Linked DNA regions of Callithrix jacchus. The protein of the gene in region 3 interacts with the protein of the main gene of each other region in a pairwise test. Links are inferred from orthologs where the notes say so. Each region holds a gene or a part of one and is shown on either strand. Other genes may lie near its edges.

What was found.
Region 1: the proteins of RFX6 (region 3) and FRS3 interact in binary tests that used the Homo sapiens proteins (3 or more experiments, as listed by UniProt). The two-hybrid records come from large-scale screens. The link is inferred for Callithrix jacchus from reciprocal best matches to the Homo sapiens genes RFX6 and FRS3.
Region 2: the proteins of RFX6 (region 3) and DTX2 interact in binary tests that used the Homo sapiens proteins (3 or more experiments, as listed by UniProt). The two-hybrid records come from large-scale screens. The link is inferred for Callithrix jacchus from reciprocal best matches to the Homo sapiens genes RFX6 and DTX2.
Region 4: the proteins of RFX6 (region 3) and NEDD9 interact in binary tests that used the Homo sapiens proteins (3 or more experiments, as listed by UniProt). The two-hybrid records come from large-scale screens. The link is inferred for Callithrix jacchus from reciprocal best matches to the Homo sapiens genes RFX6 and NEDD9.
Region 5: the proteins of RFX6 (region 3) and SS18L1 interact in binary tests that used the Homo sapiens proteins (3 or more experiments, as listed by UniProt). The two-hybrid records come from large-scale screens. The link is inferred for Callithrix jacchus from reciprocal best matches to the Homo sapiens genes RFX6 and SS18L1.

Annotation. Positions count from the first base shown.
Region 1 is NC_133505.1:50,289,809-50,293,777, forward strand, and holds the start of FRS3 (fibroblast growth factor receptor substrate 3), read right to left. Parts: upstream 2,812-3,969; 5' UTR 2,368-2,811; coding exon of another isoform or gene 1,994-2,367; 5' UTR 1,970-1,993; coding exon of another isoform or gene 1,337-1,969; intron 767-1,336; coding exon of another isoform or gene 563-766; intron 304-562; coding exon of another isoform or gene 166-303; intron 1-165. Other genes in the region: PRICKLE4 (prickle-like protein 4), read left to right, coding at 166-303, 563-766, 1,337-1,969; TOMM6 (mitochondrial import receptor subunit TOM6 homolog), read left to right, coding at 2,937-3,064, 3,559-3,655. UniProt on the Homo sapiens protein: Adapter protein that links FGF and NGF receptors to downstream signaling pathways. Involved in the activation of MAP kinases. Down-regulates ERK2 signaling by interfering with the phosphorylation and nuclear translocation of ERK2.
Region 2 is NC_133503.1:11,212,478-11,216,544, reverse strand, and holds the start of DTX2 (putative E3 ubiquitin-protein ligase DTX2), read right to left. Parts: upstream 2,807-4,067; 5' UTR 2,743-2,806; coding exon 2,714-2,742; intron 1,342-2,713; exon of another isoform or gene 1,242-1,341; coding exon 1,078-1,241; intron 604-1,077; exon of another isoform or gene 491-603; intron 1-490. UniProt on the Homo sapiens protein: Regulator of Notch signaling, a signaling pathway involved in cell-cell communications that regulates a broad spectrum of cell-fate determinations.
Region 3 is NC_133505.1:123,208,154-123,211,667, reverse strand, and holds part of RFX6 (DNA-binding protein RFX6), read right to left. Parts: intron 3,044-3,514; coding exon 2,920-3,043; intron 1,033-2,919; coding exon 971-1,032; intron 1-970. UniProt on the Homo sapiens protein: Transcription factor required to direct islet cell differentiation during endocrine pancreas development. Specifically required for the differentiation of 4 of the 5 islet cell types and for the production of insulin.
Region 4 is NC_133505.1:19,413,441-19,416,954, reverse strand, and holds part of NEDD9 (enhancer of filamentation 1), read right to left. Parts: intron 1,519-3,514; coding exon 1,009-1,518; 3' UTR 1-1,008. UniProt on the Homo sapiens protein: Scaffolding protein which plays a central coordinating role for tyrosine-kinase-based signaling related to cell adhesion. As a focal adhesion protein, plays a role in embryonic fibroblast migration.
Region 5 is NC_133506.1:57,735,609-57,739,122, reverse strand, and holds the end of SS18L1 (calcium-responsive transactivator), read right to left. Parts: intron 2,426-3,514; coding exon 2,306-2,425; intron 807-2,305; coding exon 592-806; 3' UTR 477-591; downstream 1-476. UniProt on the Homo sapiens protein: Transcriptional activator which is required for calcium-dependent dendritic growth and branching in cortical neurons. Recruits CREB-binding protein (CREBBP) to nuclear bodies.

The DNA.
Region 1 (3,969 bases), about 73 Mb from region 3:
GCTCCTTTCCTTCTTCTATTTGCCCTTCAATGCCATTATCTCTGGCATCTCCCTGAGGTTCTACAACCTTTCTCTGACCTAGCAGCCAAGTCTTTTTTCCTCCAACCAATGCTCCATCTTGCCTGCTGGGGCTCTCCCAGTCATTGCAGAGGACTGTTTCTGCAGGAGCGCTACTGCCTGGCCCTTGGGGAGGAGGAGCTGGCTGAGCTGCGGCTCTTCTGTGCCAGGCGGAAGCAGGAGGCCCTGGGACAGGGGGTGGCCCGCCTGCTACTTCCCAAGCTTAAAGGACACACCTGTGAGAAGGTACGTAGTACCCCTCCCCCCAGGTTCTCCTTCCTCCACTCTTTGCCCTCTTATTTCTGCAGAAGGCACTAGCTTCTGGGACTCTGGTTGGGAAACAGGAAAAACAGAAACCAAGTTTGGGAGCTCTTGGTATAGGCTGCAGTGGATGTGGGCTTGCTAGGGTATGGTGAGAACAGGTTGGGATTGGATTAGAAGATCAAGGAGGGAAGTTAGGTTGGTAGTGCCTCCTCCGACCACCTCAGCACCTCCCCTCCCACAGTGCAGGGAGCTGCTGAAGCCAGGGGAGTACGGAGTGTTTGCAGCCCGGGCAGGTGAACAGCGCTGCTGGCACCAGCCCTGCTTTGCCTGCCAGGCCTGTGGCCAGGCCCTGATAAACCTCATCTACTTCTACCATGATGGACAACTCTACTGCGGCCGTCATCACGCAGAGTTGCTGCGCCCGCGCTGCCCAGCTTGTGACCAGGTACAAAAGAACTGGGGGTCTCCCCAGGGTCCAGAGTGGCAGGATACAAAGGGACACTCTCCTGGGCCACAGGTTCTCCCAGTATCAGGGAGCGGGGAGAACTAGTAACCAGCCTGGGACTACCAAGTTCCCTGTGTTCTGACTTGAGCTCTGGGCATGTGGGGCCCACGGCCTTTCTTGTGCCCCCATTGCAATCAGAGTCCCTCAAATGTTCTTGGACTCAGAAAATTTCTCTAGAGCAGGGACTCTTGGACAGATGCTCATAAGTATATGCCAAGTGCCCAGTGCTGTGCCTCATCATGCTAGAAATTCCCTTAAGGCCAGCATAAAAGGAAGCCTGGAGCCCTGGGTTGGGAGTCCAGACCCCCAGGTCGAACTTTGGATTGTGCCACTTGCTAGCTGGCATCCTGGCTAAGCCAATCAGTCCTCCCTGTGTCCAAGAGTGGCTGAGTGGATCAAATGGGAATGTTTGTAGACGTGCTTTAGCGTTCTGGGTATAAGGCGTGGTTACTGGATGAATGAATGAGTGAATGAATGAATGAATGAATCGTTCCCCTCTCCCTCTCCCAGCTGATCTTCTCTCGGCACTGCACCGAGGCAGAGGGACGACACTGGCATGAGAACCACTTCTGTTGCCAGGACTGCGCCGGGCCCCTGGGCGGGGGACGTTATGCACTGCCTGGGGGAAGCCCCTGCTGCCCCAGCTGCTTCAAGAACCGCTACTCGGATGCAGGCTGGAGCTCGGCCGGGGCACTGGAAGGGCAGGCGTTCCTTGGTAAGGCAGAGGATGCAGGTCAAAGTGGGAGGGGGCTTGGGCTGGGCTGTGGGGGTTCTCCCGGGCTGGGACCCTTGTCCCGGTCCCACGCCGTCCCGTCCCTCCAGCAGCGCCCGCGGCCTCCCACCGCACCCCCCATACCCGAGCCTTGGGGCCCGCAGCTCTCACCGCGCGTCCCTGGCTGGAGCGTTCCAAGGGCCTCTCGAACCCACCCCGCACCGCGGTCGGGCTTGCGGCGCCGCAATCCCTCCCAGGCACGGGACGCGGCCGCCCTCTGGTGGGTGGAGGCGGGGGACCCAGGAGAGGACTCTCGGCAGCGGCGCACACGGCCTAGGGGCGGGGAGGGGCGGGGCGGGAGGCTGGGCCTCACCCCGGATAGCTGCGGTGGTGGTCTAGCCAGGCTCTGGAAGGGAGATTCCGCGCTCTGAGACCAGCGTTTCCGAACCGGCCAGGAACAGGGGAGGCTGGACCCGACCGAACTGAAGGAAGGGACCAAACCTCGCTGACCTCTGTGACCCTCTCCCGAACACTCCTCGCTGCTGCCGGCTGTTCCAGCCTGCAAACTCGGACCGGGCTGCCTGGATCCAGTCCCCAGCAGAAAAGCCGACCTGGGGACAAAGCGGAGGCACCCAAAGGGCAGGAGCAATGCCTCCTGAAGACTCCTCGTCATCCCAAGGACACTCCTTTCCCCACCTACTCCTCTTCTTCTGACTCGGAACCTGAAGGCTTTTTCTTAGGCGAGCGCCTTCCCCTGTCCTGGAAGACCCCCGGAAACCTCCAAGCAGAGGACAGCAACGCCTCTAAGAAGCACTGCACCGTGTGCTAGAGGTGCAGCTCAGAGAAGGGGTGTGAATGGAGGGAAAGAGGTCTGTAGAGCGGGAGAACAAGGCTATCCTCCCCCTAGAAAAATCCGAGAGTGAGACGCAGTCATGCGCACGCCCGCGAGAGGCGGCGAGGTGACAAGTTTGGAGTGTACTCCCTTCAGCACTGCGTGTTCTAGGACTTCTGGTGGAGACCTTTTTGGCAAAACCCATTGTCCAAAGCTACACTTCCCTTGCTGAGATAGCCTCCACCCCCACCTCCACAGGCTGGGACAGCCCCGTCCCTACCATCCTCCTCCTGAGCCAATTAAATGATCACAGCACGCGTGACGGTTACCGGCTGGAGCGCCGGAGGTGGGACGGGGAGCAGGGGACCGTAGAGCTGGGCCGCGCTCCTCCCCTCGTAGAGTTGGTGGACGCGCAGCAGGGGGCCGTCCCTCTCTTCCGTTATCGGAATAAGCGAACAGCGTCCCCTGCAGGCCGGTGGCCGCCGGAAGTGCCAGACCGGAGGTGCGTCATCCTCCGGCGACGCCGATACGGTGCCTCCAACGAGGTTCGTGCGAAGCTTCCTATTATGGCTTCCAGCGGGGTCCCGGTGAGCGCTGCCGGCTCGGCTAATGAAACCCCCGAAATACCGGACAACGTGGGAGATTGGCTTCGGGGCGTCTACCGCTTTGCCACTGATAGGAATGACTTCCGGAGGTAACCGAACCCGGAGAACTTGGTCCTTCTCTGGTCCTTACGTCCGTATTTTCCCTTCCTCGCGGGGCTGACGCCTCAGGGTTTTTGTTTGTTTTTGTTTTTTAAACATTGCTGGCATTATGGCTTCTTCGTAGCTCTGGCTGTGTCTCACTGAGGTCCTTTACCAAGAGAGTTCCCGTGTGGCAAAAGCGATCTTTCTGTCATGTGGCTGTATCTGTAATGTCACCCTGATCAGGGGGAGAGGTGCCAGCACGTAAACAAGCTTTTTCGGCCCTGGACGAGTGCTTCACTAGGGCTTTGCGTTTGATCTTACATTTATTAGGCACAAAAATGAACTCCAAATTCCCACGTGGGTCTTCAGCAACCCACCATGTCACAACCACGTATCAACGCCTCGGGAAGGTGGTGGTAACTGGAAACCTTTTCCCCCAGTACTTTTCGTTAACCGTACAAGTGACTGACGACAGGGTTAATAAAACACATTGTTTTTCCAGGAATTTGATCCTTAATTTGGGACTCTTTGCTGCGGGAGTTTGGCTGGCCAGGAACTTGAGTGACATTGACCTCATGGCACCTCAGCCAGGGGTGTAGCCAAGTAGGTAAGAACTGAACTACACCCCTGCGTGTCTTAAGAGACCTAGAGGCTGGGAGAAGCAATATTTTCTGACAGCTGTTCACGAAATGTACAAGAATGTGATGTAAAACCCTTGACTATTCCTAGTTAAATGTGTTTTCAGATGTTGCAAGGGATTTAAGTATCTCTTACCAATTTCCCTCCCATAGTTTTACATTTCTAATGCCACCCATTGTCTTATCATCTGATTGCAGACAAATGGAATCCTGTGCTGAACCTGAACCTTCCAAAAAACAGCCTACAATCTGTGACCATCACAAGATGTGCCCTG
Region 2 (4,067 bases), on a different chromosome or scaffold from region 3:
GCTGGCATGGTGTAAAGAGACTCACTAAGAGAACAATCCAGTCTAACCCATTCTACATGTGCCAGTGTGCTCCTGTAAAATGTCCCTCAGGAGGCCAAGCACAGCGGCTCAGGCTTGTAATCCAGGCACTCCAGGAAGCTGAGATGGGAGGATCACTTGAGGCCAGCCTGGACGACACAGAGTTAGAGACCAGCCTGGACAACACAGAGAGACACGGTCTCTAGAAAAAGTTAAAATATTAGTTGGGTATGGTGGTAGGCCACTCAGCTCCTCCCGAGCCAGGAATTTGAGGCTGTGGTTATGATCACTCCACTGCACTCCGGCCTGGGCAATAGCAGTAGACCCCACCTCAGACAAATACATACAATGCCCCTCATGGAATTCTGCTAAAATCCTTCTGCTCCCGAGTCTTGGCACGGCCCACATAACCCTCCCCCTCAGCCCTCCACCTGCTTTTCCAGCCTCCTCTACCACATACTAAGCTACTTACAGTGGCCCAGCTGTGTCCCGGTGGCTTCATGACTTTGCAAATGCTGACTCCTCTCCCAGGCGACTGTGCCCCACTTTCTAAGTCCTACTCCTCCTTCACAATCCCCTTCAACTACCACCTTCCAGAAGCCTTCCTGACCCTCCCCCGTCCCTTCCCTTCCTGGATGTGGGTAGGAGGGCCTTATGATTTCCCCCATCTCAGTATATGTCACACTGACAATATCACTGACTGTGGTTTGTCTTTGCCACCAAACAATGAGCTCCCAAAAGACAGAGATCTTGTCTGGCACCCAGTAAAGGTTTATGCAACAAAAGAAATGAAAACTGCCAGTTCAAATGCAGAAATCGTGACTTGTGTCTTCCATCCCATAGAGCATGTCTTAAAGTGGAAAGCATCTTCTAAGACTAGTTAAACAGGAGAAGCAGCTGGCAAGACGCCACTGAAATTTATTTGAGACAGGTGGCAATCAACAATTAACTCCCAGGGTGACCGTTTATCCTGTAGACCTCAAATTCCACCCTCCCCAATCCCCACCTTCTCTGCACCAGACAGAGAAGGCAGCAAGGTCAAGTCCCTGTGGCTCTCACCTTTTTCTCCTGAGAGCTGGCACGAAGCGTCCCTTTTGGATGAAGACACCAGCTCCTTAGGAGGAATGACTTGTTTGAGTTCCCATCTTGATGCAAACCACAAACAACAAAAACCGGGCAAATCTGAAAGGCTTGCTGACTCAGCAACACAATTTCCAAGGCACCTTTGCCAACAAGGAAGATGATGATCAGGTTTTAAATTGAGAAACAGCGGTTAGTAAAAACGAAGGTGCAGATGTTGGATCCGTGTGCTGTGCCTGGGGACTGAAAATCACCAGATTTATTTTCCAGTAGCCTGGGTGGAGCAGAAGGCCTCCTCCACCCACTTATCAAGGAGATGGTTGAAAAACAACAAAAAGCAAACAACAACAAAAAAACCCTGAGCCCTTCTATTTTTTTATTATGTATTTATTTTTGGAGATGGAGTCTTGCTCTGTCACCCAGGCTGGAGTGCAGTGGGGCGATCTCAGGTCTCTGCAGCCTCCACCTCCCAGGTTCAAGCAACTCTCCTGCCTCAGCCTCCCGAATACCTGGGATTATAGGCACAAGCCACTACACCCAGCTCTGAGCCCTTCTTTAAAAAAAAAAAAAAAAAAGTTTCGTTATCCCTCTGTCACCCATGCTGGAGTGCAGTGGCATGATCATAGCTCACTGCAGCCTCCAACTCCTGGGGCCAAGCAATCCTCCTGCCGCAGCCTCCCAAACAGCTGGGACTACAGGTGCCAACAGGCCCATCCAATTTTTTGTAGAGACAGTATCTCAGGAATCTTCTTCATTTCTCAGGCTTGTGTCAAACTCCTGGACTCAAGTGATCCTTCCACCTCGGCCTCCCAAAGTGCTGGGATTACAGGCGTGAGCCACCGTGCCTGACCTGAGGCCTTTCACAGAAAACCCTAAAAGAACTTCATAAGCCAGTCTGGCAGCTAAGCATCCAGGAAATCAACATACCAGAGACAGTAAATATTTGGCCAAGATCACAGAGCAACCGAACCAGAGGGCTTGCTGTCAGGATGGCTTAGGTAAGCCCGGATGGTGGCTACCAGAAAGTCTGCCTTCTTTAACGCTAGAGGAGCTAGGAGGGCATGCAGAAATATTCTGAGTTTCTCAAGGGTCCAGGCGTTTGTACACATGCTATTTATTTCCATCGCGGTTGGCGCTTAGAGAAGCGGAGCCGGCTTGGAGGAGGAGGGCGGCTAGCTGAGAGTCGCGATGAAAGCGCAACTCCAGAAAAGGGAACCGAGTTCTAAGTCTTCGTTGGCACCCCTTACGCACCCGCAAAAGGGACCCAGGAGGTCCTGGGAAAGTAGAAGGCAGACCCCAGCCGGAGAGCAGGGAAGCACAGTTAGAAGGCAATCTCCTCCAAAGTACAACCCCCAGACCGTAAGTCCCTTCACCTGGAGGTAGACCCCAGTAGGACCCACCCCTCGTCAGAGCCGGTGGCAATCTCGTCACCGCCTCCTCCGGGTCCTGTGGGAAGGGGTGCGCTCCTCCCGAGCGACCCGAACTCCCGGGGGCCGCGCCCCTCCGCCTGGGAGCCCCTCAGCCTCCACCCAGACGTCCCCTCTCGCACCCGGCACCCTGTCCCGTCCAAGGCTCCCGGCGCCTCCCAAGTCCCCCCAACTCCCGCCACCAGGACCTTGAGACCGGAGACCGATGCCCCGACATCCCTGATCTCCCGGGACCCCCGGGTGTCCCCGCCGCCCGGGCCGTCTACTCCCCTCACACCCACGCCCGCCCCCTTCCGGTCCCGGCTGTGCTCCGACTCCCCGCGCCACCCCGCGCCCCAGCGACGCGCAGGTAGCCTGCCCGCCCTCTCACCTAGGCTGAGGAGGACGAGAGAACGGGGCTGAGGGCACCACAGCGCTCGGGCTGTAGCTTCGGCTCGGCCTCGGAAGGTCTCCGGCTGCAGCTCCGACTCTCAGGAGAAGGCAACCAGAGTGAAACTCAGCGTCGCAGCTTCCGAGCGCGCCGCTGCGCATGCCCGGGGCGCGTGGGCTTCCGGGAAATGTAGTCCCGGAGGGGCCCAGGGGCGGGCAAGGGGCCGGACGCAAGGGGAGGGGCTCAACCCAAGGCGCACCTGCTCTGGTCTATGTTTTCTTCCTTCGCCTGTTCACTCATTCACTTATTCTTTAGTTACTGACTTCATTTTAACTAGTTTTTACTAGTACATACATGGTGCCAATTCAGGTGCTACTGTTTCTCTTTTTTGTTTTTCAAATTAACTTTAATTTTATTTTTATTTGTTGTACAGACGGGAGTCTTGCAATGTAGCTCAGGCTGATCTCAAATTCCTGGCCTCAAGTGATCCCCTTGCTTCAGCCTCCCGAAGCACTGGGGTTGCAAGTGTGAACCATTGAGGCCAGTCGTTTTAAATTTTTTTCTTTTTTCTTTTCTTTCTTTTTTTTTTTTTTTTTTTGAGACCGAGTTTGACTCTTGTTACCCAGGCTGGAGTGCAATGGCGCGATCTCGGCTCACCACAACCTCCGCCTCCTGGGTTCAAGCAATTCTCCTGCCTCAGCCTCCCGAGTAGCTGGGATTACAGGCACGCGCCACTATGCCCAGCTAATTTTTTGTATTTTTAGTAGAGACGGGGTTTCACCATGTTGACCAGGATGGTCTCAATCTCTTGACCTCATGGTCCACCCACCTCAGCCTCCCAAAGTGCTGGGATTACAGGTTTGAGCCACCGCGCCCGGCCTTCTTTTTTTTTTTTAGAGTCAGGGTTTGACCATGTTGGCCAGGCTGGTCTCAAACTCCTGACCTCAGGTGATCCGCCCACGTTGGCCTCCCAAAGTGCTGGGATTACGGGCGTGAGCTACCACACCCAGCCAAACCTTTTTGGATTTAAAATTTTGCAGGGCATGGTGGCTCATGCTTGTAATGCCAGCACTTTGGGAGGCTGAGGTGGGCGGATCACCTGAGCTCAGGAGTTCAAGACCAGCCTGATCAACATGGAGAAACCACGTCTCTACTAAAAATATGAAAAATTA
Region 3 (3,514 bases):
AAAAGAGTAGTAGAAGAGGGACGAGGGCCTGGATAGTACTGTGACAGAGAAGCTATAGAGGAAGTTTTCTCTATCTATTTATTTAAAGAGGGCATTATCAGTTGATTCAAATGCTAGGCAGGAGCCAAGGCAGATGAGTAACAGTAAAAACCAGTCATTGGATTTTTGCCATGGTAGAGAAATGGACTAGGCCAGAGGTAGGGGAAGCAACAACTCAAAGCGGGAAATACTAGAGCAATCATGAAGGTTGGAACTTTTTTCTTTCTCAGCATAAAGGCATGCTTATAGGCAGAAGGAAAGGAGAAACTGAAAATACAGCACATAGAGAAAATAGTGTTGAATGAGAAATTGTACCTGGGAGTTCTCCAGAGACTGTCACAACATAGAGGAAAATTTAAAGATACGAAGAGAAGGGATGTGTGACTGCTTATTTTATGTTTATATATATATTAAGAAATAACCAAACAGGCCATTTGTGCATGTCATTTGTCTTGAAGAGAAAAGAAGGAGATATCAAGAAACGATTTCCTGGGAAAGAAAACTAGAGGAAGATTCTGAAACATGCTAAGGCACTTCCTTCCTACTCAAAGCTCTATACCCCCTGGTTTGGGCCTTGCTCTTTGGGAGCATTGTGGAGTCTGCTTGGTTCACTATAGTTAATTCTCATACATTCCTCCTTCATGACACTGGTGCCTTCAGTAATAGCTTAAAGATTATGAAAATGACTCATTTAAATTATTTCAGCAGAAATAATAATATATTACGATTTTCATATGTAAAATTTGCTTTTTAAAAATTATTCTAAAATTTACTTTGTTTTTTTTTTTTTAGTTCTCACAGTTGGTAAAAGTCTGCTTCATCAAGAGAATATCTGGTTCTCTTTGTACTGACAAAGACAATACTTATTTTACCTTTGTGTCAATCCTCATGCACAAGAGCAGAATCTGATTTATATTCATTGATATCTTACTTTGAATGGCCTCTTGTTCCAAGCCGCCTTGTTGTTAGGAGGGGAAACTTCTGGCGAATTGTCTAAAAAGAAAGACAATTACTTTAGGTTTTAGAAAGTATATGGTCCTATTACAAGCCACTCGTAGACAATTACTTGGGGAAAGTGAATGTTGAACTCTGAATGAACTGTGAGTGAACACTTAGTCTGGAAAAAGTAATAACTTACACATATTGATAAGCAATGTATCAGCAGAGGCAGGGAGGTACTTTTTTGGTTGAAGGGTTCTACTGACCTGTTCTCAATTTCAAAGGCAAAGCATACCAATATCTGCTTTTGCTTGATGGTACCATCAAAGAAATTATTACTTCGTGTATGTATGAAGTGACACGATTTGAGTCTCTTCCTAATGATTCCATTCAGAGATACCCACAATTAAAAATCTATTCCCAACCCCAAAAGGACATATAAAACTTTCTCTGCCTTACTGTGTCTCCGTTGTAATGTTATAAAATTTTTGTTTTGTATCTTCCTTTCTCTAAACTTGCTAAAAATAGGATCTGATTAAAAATTTCAAAAAGTCTTTTACATAAAACAATTTTAACCTCAATCTTTGAAGATCCATACATGAACTTCAGAGAGCTCCAAGGCAAACTATGTATGTGTTAATTTCTTGGAGGCTGAGTCTATAGTTTTACCAGATTTTCAAGGTGCTTCAGGACTGCCAAACAGTTACGAATTGTTCCCATAAGGTGGACTCAGAAAATGGTAATGTTATTATGGATATTAGAAGTTGTCTTATCCAAAATCCTCATTTAATAGAACGAGTAAACTGAATTTTAAAGAGATTAAGTGCTTTTCAGAAGGTTTCACAATAAATTAGTCCAGTCTAGGCTAGAACCTAGATTACCTGATTACACAGTGTGCAATATCACACTCTCTCTGTAAATAGCTAGGTTTTCAAAATAAATAAATAATTTATTATTATTATTATTATTATTTTGAGATGGAGTTTCGCTCTTGTTGCCCAGGCTGGAGGGCAATGGCATGACCTCAGCTCACTGCAACCTCCACCTCCTGGGTTCAAGCAATTCTCCTGCCTCAGCTTCCCAAGTAGCTGGGATCACAGGCATCAGCCACCACGCCTGTCTAATTTTGTATAAATTATTATTTTTTTAATGAGAAGCTGGAGCATAGTATTCATTATTTTCTGGACAATGAGTCCTTCTACAGGTCAGAATCTGGATGTCAATTTGTATGAGATACAATATTTGAGACTCAAGCTTCCTAAAGTTTTTCTGGGATATCCTAGGTCCTCAAACACAGCATGACATGACTCTTAAGAACAAGACTTTCTTAAAAGATTGATTTTGATTCTCAAACTGATGTCTCTCTCTATATATATAAGTATAGTAATGTCACTTATACAGATTCCCATCCTAACCATACAGATTGGATAGAAAGAAATACTTTTAAATGAGAGAATTCTAATCCATCCCATCATAAAATCTTGAGGTTCGGGAATGCAAACAGAGTGAAATGGAGAATTAGGAGAACTTTTAATACAGTAAAAACCTATTAAAAATTCATATATTTGAACTAGCTAAATAATAAAGATACCCACTAACCACTAATTGCATTATCAAGAGACTTACCACTCCATTTAATTTTGCTTCTTAACACTGGCCATACCATGTACTTTAATGCATCCCTCTTTGAAGGGAAATGCTACTGTTTAAACAAAGCTTGCTTTCAATTTGCATTAGATAGTCTAATAGTTAGGGTTCTGATATTCAAAATCAAGTTATAAAGATATAGCACTTCCAAACAGAGTCCTTAAGACAATTTATGCCTGCAAAACAGATGTCGCAGTAGTCTCTAAGAGAACTTACACAGATGAATTTGGTTTTATGCTATCTGCCCAACATGACTTTAGTTATAAGTCACTATAGCCAATATGTGTCATTTACCTTTCCAAAGGTGGCTGCACAGGCTGGCTCTAATTTCTCTTTCCTACAGAAATCTAGGTAGTGTGCATAAAGAATGCACCGTGGTAAGCAAACTCCTTCACATACAATGTAATTCTCTTCAAGCCTAAGAAAAAGGAACAAAAATAAGGTCAAATCTTTTCTTTATTTCTTTTTTTCCTTCTACTTTCTCATTGATTTATTACCCATTTTGAATATGGACCCTATGCAAATGAGATAATGAGTAGACATAAGTAGACTTTTTTTATTCTGGATTTTTTTAAAAGTCCGATTATGAGGAATAATGTTAGAAGAACAAGAACCCCACTGAAAAATCTGCTAGTGCAGTTAAAATATTATGAGTAACATAAAACCATGCCTGGTCCACATCACAAATATTAGATCTCCTATATAAACCTCATGGGTCATCATGATTTGCTCTGTGACATATAAATATGAATGGTGAAATTGAAGATGATGGGTATTTTAAAAAAACATTCTCAGCACTAATGTGCTGCCAAGCTTCAGGCTGGCAAATGCCTACATTCTGTCACTTTCATTCAAAACCTAATTCTGAGCCCTGAATAGTTAGGGAAAA
Region 4 (3,514 bases), about 100 Mb from region 3:
CAGGATATGTCCTGATGGCTATAGTTCCGTGATCAAGGACCTGGCCAGTTTCCCTCAGGTAATGGGGGCAGTAGCACCAAAGTGTATGTGAAGAGTTAGGAAGGCCTCTAGTTGCAACTGGCGGATCAAACCATTCCCGTGTTTTGGTGAACAATGATAATCTGATATGTCTTTGTGAATCCTTGCTGCAGATACAGTTTTTACAACTCAAAAAACATCTTTGGAAAACCTCATGGCTGAACTGCTCGCAAATGCAGAAGATCCAATAGCCCCAGGGAGGCAGTTGCTCTCCTTTTATTGTAGCTCTCTCAGTATTGAAACAACCCAACCCTAACTGTGGTCCTGGCCTCTAAACACACAGGTCTGTCCTCCCTCCAGCACCTGAAATATCAGAACTTGGATTCACCTATATATTCTGAAATTTGCTCTGCGAGAGGGTTTTTGGGCACTTGGCCATTGTGTGTTTACAATGGTCAACTGTGACGAGTTTTCAAAACAAGAATAAGTCATGCTGTGCCTCATCATTTGGAAGGTGAACACTTGCAAATGTACATGCTTCCCAGATTTGGCAGAGCCAGGCTCAGAATCATTATAAGCACATGGAGAACAATATCATAACCAGCTGGCATGTTTTTAACAACAAAAACATGCAGCATTAGAAGGTGCTTACTAAGGTGCTTCTTAATTCATGTTGTTTTAAATGAAATACGTCAGACAAACATCTACAAACAAACATGAATATATAGGCATACACAAGCAGTGGACAAGTTTCTGTACAGTTTATGTCTTAGATACTTCTATGTATACATAAGAACCACTCAGGGGGAAAAAAAAGATTTCCCTCTCCAGCTCCCTGAATTTCTGAAAGTTGTCTAACCCATAAAATGTTAAAATATTTCATTTTCATATAAAATATCTACAAAAATAGATAATATTTACAAAAACCAGATAATATTTCCAGTTTTCCTTAGTAACCATTAACACAGTCCCCTTCCTCTTTTTTTCTTCTCAGAATGTTGCCATCTCCAGCAAAGAGCGCTTGAACAGCTGGGCATTTCGAGAAAGGTCTGTCACTTGGTGCACCATTTCCTGCAGGGCCGTGGTGCTGGGGTAATGGAGGGCGGCCATCTTGGTCGCCATGACTATAGTCTTGAGCTGCTCGCAGAGCTGGTTGCTGGAGTTCATCACTTTGTTGCGAATGTCCTGGGAAGTCACCTGCCGTGTCAGCGTGTCTCCAATGAACACCAGTTTGTGTGCACTGAGGATGACAAACTTGCTGTGTGCCACAAAGATTCGTGGGGGCTGGGCTGAGCTGACACAACTGAAGAGCGCGTCGATGGCGTTGAGAAGGGAGATGAAATGGGTCTCACATTGGTCATAGTAGAAGCACAGCAACTGCCGATCCTGGGCACTCACGCCGCTGTTTGTGGTGGGCAGGCTCTGAGAGGGCTTCCACTTCGAGATGTCATTCTCCACGGGCTTTGTAATCTCTTGTTCCAACAGCTGGAACTGGCTCAGCTGGAAGGAAGACAAAGTAGATTTCATTAGGGCAAGGGAGTGTGGTGCAATGCAAATTAGCCAGGGCTTGGAGTTAAAAGACGGGGATTTTCGTCCCTAACAACTGTCAGATGCATGAAGTTAAAAGACGGGGATTTTCGTCCCTAACAACTGTCAGATGCATGTGAGTGGTGCAGCCTGGGTCAAGCTGCCTTGCTTTCCCAAATTGTAAAATGTAGATGTTGAGATAGATGATCCTCCAGCTCAGACTTTCTATGACTGGACCACTGGTCTCTTGTACCCCTTGGCTAAAAGTCAACATAGGGTATAAAGCACAGCCCTGTTACCTACACCTTTAAGGAGGTTAAATGAGTTAAAGTTTACAAATTGCTTAGAATATTTTGGTATGGAGTAGGCGCTATATAAATGTTTATTAGTGTTAAGTGGTGGTATGGGAAAACCAAATGTAGTGACCTCTTGTCGGATAAGTTACTGACAATTTGCTCCTTCTTGGGGAAAGTCTCAACTATCTCAGGATGCTCAGATGCAATGACCATTCCTGACCCCTTTCTATTTATCTGTCAAGATTGATAGACATGTTATGCTCCAGCACTACATGACTAATGAATATAAATATTAAGCACTTAAGGAAAAAAAAACATTTCTAAGGAAGTCTGAATGGGAAATGTGCATCATAATATTTAGTCCCCCAGAGCTAAAAGACGAGGGCCTCACCCAGAGTCAGATGCATGAGGTGCTGGCTTTCTTCCTTCTTTTCTCATTGCTCCCAAATGGTGTATTATTTAAATTGTGATTACGATAATTTCTAGCAATTCCACTAAGACTCAGGGGAGACCTCTCTTTTGCAGGTAAGTATCTGTGACCTGAGCTTAGGACTCAGTGAATCGTCTACCCGGAGGGAGGGAGGAGCTGGAGCAGTGATCACCTCACAAAATGCATGGCCAGCTTTACTTTTCTGGAATCTGTTTTCTTCTTAGGGATTGCTATGATTTCAACAAGTTCCCCAGAGCCCTGCCATCTTACCTTGCTAGATGCCAAGGCAAACACAAACAGGTACAAGGTGGTATTCCAAGGCAGTTAATCATATGGATGATATTTAATATATCTTAGGCTTTATGCAAATAGGTTCATCAATGTACCAGGTCATTAGATTGGAGAGGTGTACTTTCCCATTATATAGAGAAGTAACTGAAGTTCGGGGAGGATACGTAGTTGGTTGTACTTGACATGGTTGGCCAGAAAGAATTAGAACTCAGATTTCCTAAACATAGCATGCCATTTCATGTCATTATATGCCATTTTACTTCATTTCATCTTAAAAGCCTTGTAAATAAATCCTCAAGCCATCTCTCTTTATTTTTATGCCCTTGTCCTAGCAATACTCATTGTCTGCCCTACTCATACCCAACTTTTGAATGAACGTGCCCTGCCCAAAGTCCTCTGTAGATAGGCCTGGAGATATGTTGAAAACATTCAATTCTACTCCCTACTCTTAGACTGGACCAAGGCCGGCCAAACCATAGGCTTGTGATGCTGGCGAGAGAGAGACAAATAGAGAGGTAGAGACAGACAGAAAGACAGAGAGGTAGACACACACACACACACACACACACACACACACACACACAGAGAGAGAGAGAGAGAAATGGCCCAATCAAAATAGCCCAATCAGACTCTTTCTTAGGAATCCGATGAACCACAGAAGGGAGCTAACCATTGGAAGATGAAGCTGAGATGAGAGGTCATCTATAGAAAAAGCTCTGAGTGTCCATTTATGAGTTCTGCAAAGTTACGGGGGAGCCAAATGAGTAGATAAGCAGAGGAAACCAGAAAATAGAAGAGATTGAAGTAGATATATAGAAAGAAGCAAAGGAAGTACAAGAAGGAGAGAGAATTTACAGTTCTAGTTCTCACCAGACCTGGCTCTATCTTCATTTTCTGTTACTGAATTCCCTTACTACGGCTTTGCTATGAACCTGTTTGCTCAGGTTAGCTT
Region 5 (3,514 bases), on a different chromosome or scaffold from region 3:
GCCCCCACGCCCACCTATCCCTGTCGCCTCCTGCCACGCTGGCCTCCTTACTGTCCTGGGAGCTCCCACTATTCTCGCTTCCAAGGTGCTCTTTCCTTAGCTCTTTCAAAGCCCTGATCACTGTCCCTGGACAGAAAGGGCTCCCCCTTCCCTGGGCTGAGCCTGCGGCTGCCCACCACTCCCCACTGTGTCTTCCTTCTGGAACTGTCCACACTGGTCAAATGTGGCCGCCTGCACTGGAAGGCAGGCTCCACTAGGGGCTCCCCGATCCGTGCTCAGCAAGGTCTGGCCCCATCGGACAAGTGACAGTCTCCAGAACAAGACATAAGTTCTAAAAGCACAGGGTTCATATCATGGCCACATGCCAGGCACCCAGCAGAGACCTGCCGTGTGCCCAGTACACAACAAATGTGGGCAGAGTGAAGGAATGAATGGGAGAACCAGGCATGCAGATTAACAGTAAGTTTAGGGCATGAAAAGCTGCTGCATGACTGAGGTGAGCATGTACACAGAAATAATTCTGAAAAACCTTACAGGCTCAGAGACTTAACATTCTGGAAGGAACCCTGGAAGCCAGTTAGTTCTAGCTCATTATTCCTCATGGCCATAAGAGAAATCTTCATTAAGTCTCAATAGGCAAGGCGGACAGGCACATCTGTTAACATCCAAAAAGCTTGCCTGCTCATAGCCGTAGGGCCGCTGCTGCTGGGCAGAGGGTGCCGTCTGCGGTGCTCTGTAGCTTCCGTACTGCTGGCCTTGGCCTTGCTGGTAGCCGGGGTACTGCGAGGGGGCTCCCTGGGCAGGCCCTGAGAAAACAGCAGAAACCGTGAGGCAGGCCAAAATGGGTGCATCCGTCTTTCTGCACCGGCAGGAGCTTCACGTTAACTCCGTATGGCGAGAGCAGCACACAACCAACTCACCAGCCCCTCCAGTCCTGTGAGGTTGCAGGACTGTGCCCCAAGCCTGCCACCAGCATGGGGGCACTGACGGCCTCTCTGCATCACCCCTGAGCTGCTGCTACCCAAAGATGGAGGAGCAGGAGAGCCCTCCAGAACCCGCTGGTGCCAGTCACACTGGCTGCTCTAAGTTAACTATCACAGGAGCTGCGGAAAACTTACAGAGGCATCGTCTCTAGGAAGCCTAAGTCAAAGGCTTTGGAGAGGACTGATGAAGGCCAAGTAATTTTTTTTTTGAGACAGGGTCTCACTCTGTCACCCAGGATGGAGTGCAGTGGCATGATCTTGGCTCATGGCAACCTCCACCTTCTGGGCTCAAGTGATTCTCCTGCTTCAGCCTCCCAAGTAGCTGGAACCACAGAAGTACACCACCATGCCGGCTCGTTTTTGTATTTTTTTGTAGAGATGGTTTCACTATGTCACCCAGGCTGGTCTCAAACTCCTGGCCTCAATCAGTCCTTCGGCTTCAGCCTCCCAAAGTGCTGTGATTATAGACATGAGCCACCACAATGAGCCTCAAGTTCTTTTTATTTTGAGACAGAGTCTCGCTCTGTCACCCAGGCTGGAGTGCAGTGGCACGACCTTGGCTCACTGCAACCTCCATCTTCCAGGTTCAAGCAATTCTCCTGTCTCAGCCTCCCTAGTAGCTGGGATTACAGGCACACACCACCATGCCTGGCTAATTTATTTTTAATTAATTAAAAATAAAAAAAAAGATGGGGTTTCGCCATATTGGTCAGGCTGGTCTTGAACCCCTGACCTCAGGTGATCTGCCCGCCTCTGCCTCCCAAAGTGCTGGAATTATAGGGGTGAGCCGCTGTTCCCAGCCTCCTCAAGTGATATTTAAACTACTATTTAATTAGCGATGGCCCTAAAGGGTGAGCAACCTTTAACAGGGCCTCTCCTTCCTCACCACAGCAGAATCATGCATGAGTCTCACAAGAAGTCACGTGGGTGAGGCTCATCCTGAGAACTGAGATTTTGCACAGACTGATCTGGGGCAGCCCCAGACCTTATTTTTCAGAAGCTTCCTGGGTGATTCTAAGCTGCAGTGAATGCCGAGACCCACAGGCTTTGACCTGCTCTGTCAAAGAGGTTGAAGCTGGGCATGGAGCGTGCAGGTGGCGGATGGACAGGACACTGGCTCCCTCACAGGCTGCTTGGGCAATGAATTTATGTTGATGTTTAAGTTACAATGTTTCAGGCCGACATGCATGGATGTTCCCAACTTCTCTGGAAACCTAAAGCTATTCAAAATAAGAAGCTGATTACACATCTGCCTATGTACCAGGGTTGCTGCACACGTGTCTGTGTGCGCTGGGGGGCCCTGAGGAACATGCCCCGCTTACCGTAGCCCTGCTGCTGCCCGGGGTAGCTCTGCTGGCTGGGGTACTGCTGCTGGGAGTAGGCCTGCTGCTGCGCGGCGCCCTGCTGGTACCCGGCCTGCTGCTGGCTGTACTGAGAGTTCCCTGGAGGGAGAAGGAGACACGTAGCTGACTTCCTGCGCAGGCTATAGGAGCCGTCCAGGCTAAGGCAGCGCATTCTTTGAGCAGCTCACGACACGTTAACTCTGGAATTCCAAAACCAAATCTGTGGCTTTGGCATGTACACTTTCTCACAACGATTCAAATACTAAACTATACCTTTTTCTTATCTTACGGAAATACAAATGGAAAGCTAAGAAATGAAACTGTTAACGCGACAACTAAGACAGAGACGAACGCCAGCATTGTGGGCGGAACAGTGCTCCCCAGAGAGATGCTGAAGTCCTGGGAGGACTCAGTCAAAGGATTCAGAAAGAACTGATAAAGCCAAGTTATTATTAATAACTCACTCTGTCACCAGGTGGAGTGCAGTGGCGCAATCTCGGCTCCCTGCAGCCTCTGCCTCCACCTCCAGGGCTCAAGTGAGCCAAGGGCCTGCGAATGGGACCTTATCTGGGCATAGAGTCTGTGCAGACATAATTTTATTTTTTTCAGTGACAGGCCCTCACTCTCTCACCCAGGCTTGAGTGCAGTGGTGCCATCAAAGCTCACTGCAGCTTCAATCTCCCTGGCTCAAGTGATCCTCTGACTTGAGCCTCCTGAGTAGCTAGGACTATAGGTATGTACCAGCATGCCCAGATAATTTTTAAATCTTTTGTAGAGACAGGGTCTCCTTATGTTTCCCAGGCTAACCTCAAGCAAGCCTGCTGCACCGGCCTTCCAAACCGTTGGGATTACAGGCGTATGCCACCATGCTCCATGCAAAGAGTCAATTTTCCTATTTTACTTGTCTGGTTGGAAATAACTTTCCTTTTTCAGAAGCTGTAAAATTTAAGTATTTTAAAACTGGAATCTAGTAATGTATTTTTTAAAATAACAGCTTTATTGAGATGATGCACATTGGAATAGCTTAAAAACCCATCAGGGTAACTCAACCTGTGGTTAGATGGGATGACAAAACACCTGCTTTTATTCCAGGTTGAGCTCCTCCCTAAGGTGAGAACTTTGGAGAAACCTGCTTAAGCCTTCCCAGTTACTCTTCATCCAGGAAATCCCTTGAGTCCTGAACTTCCA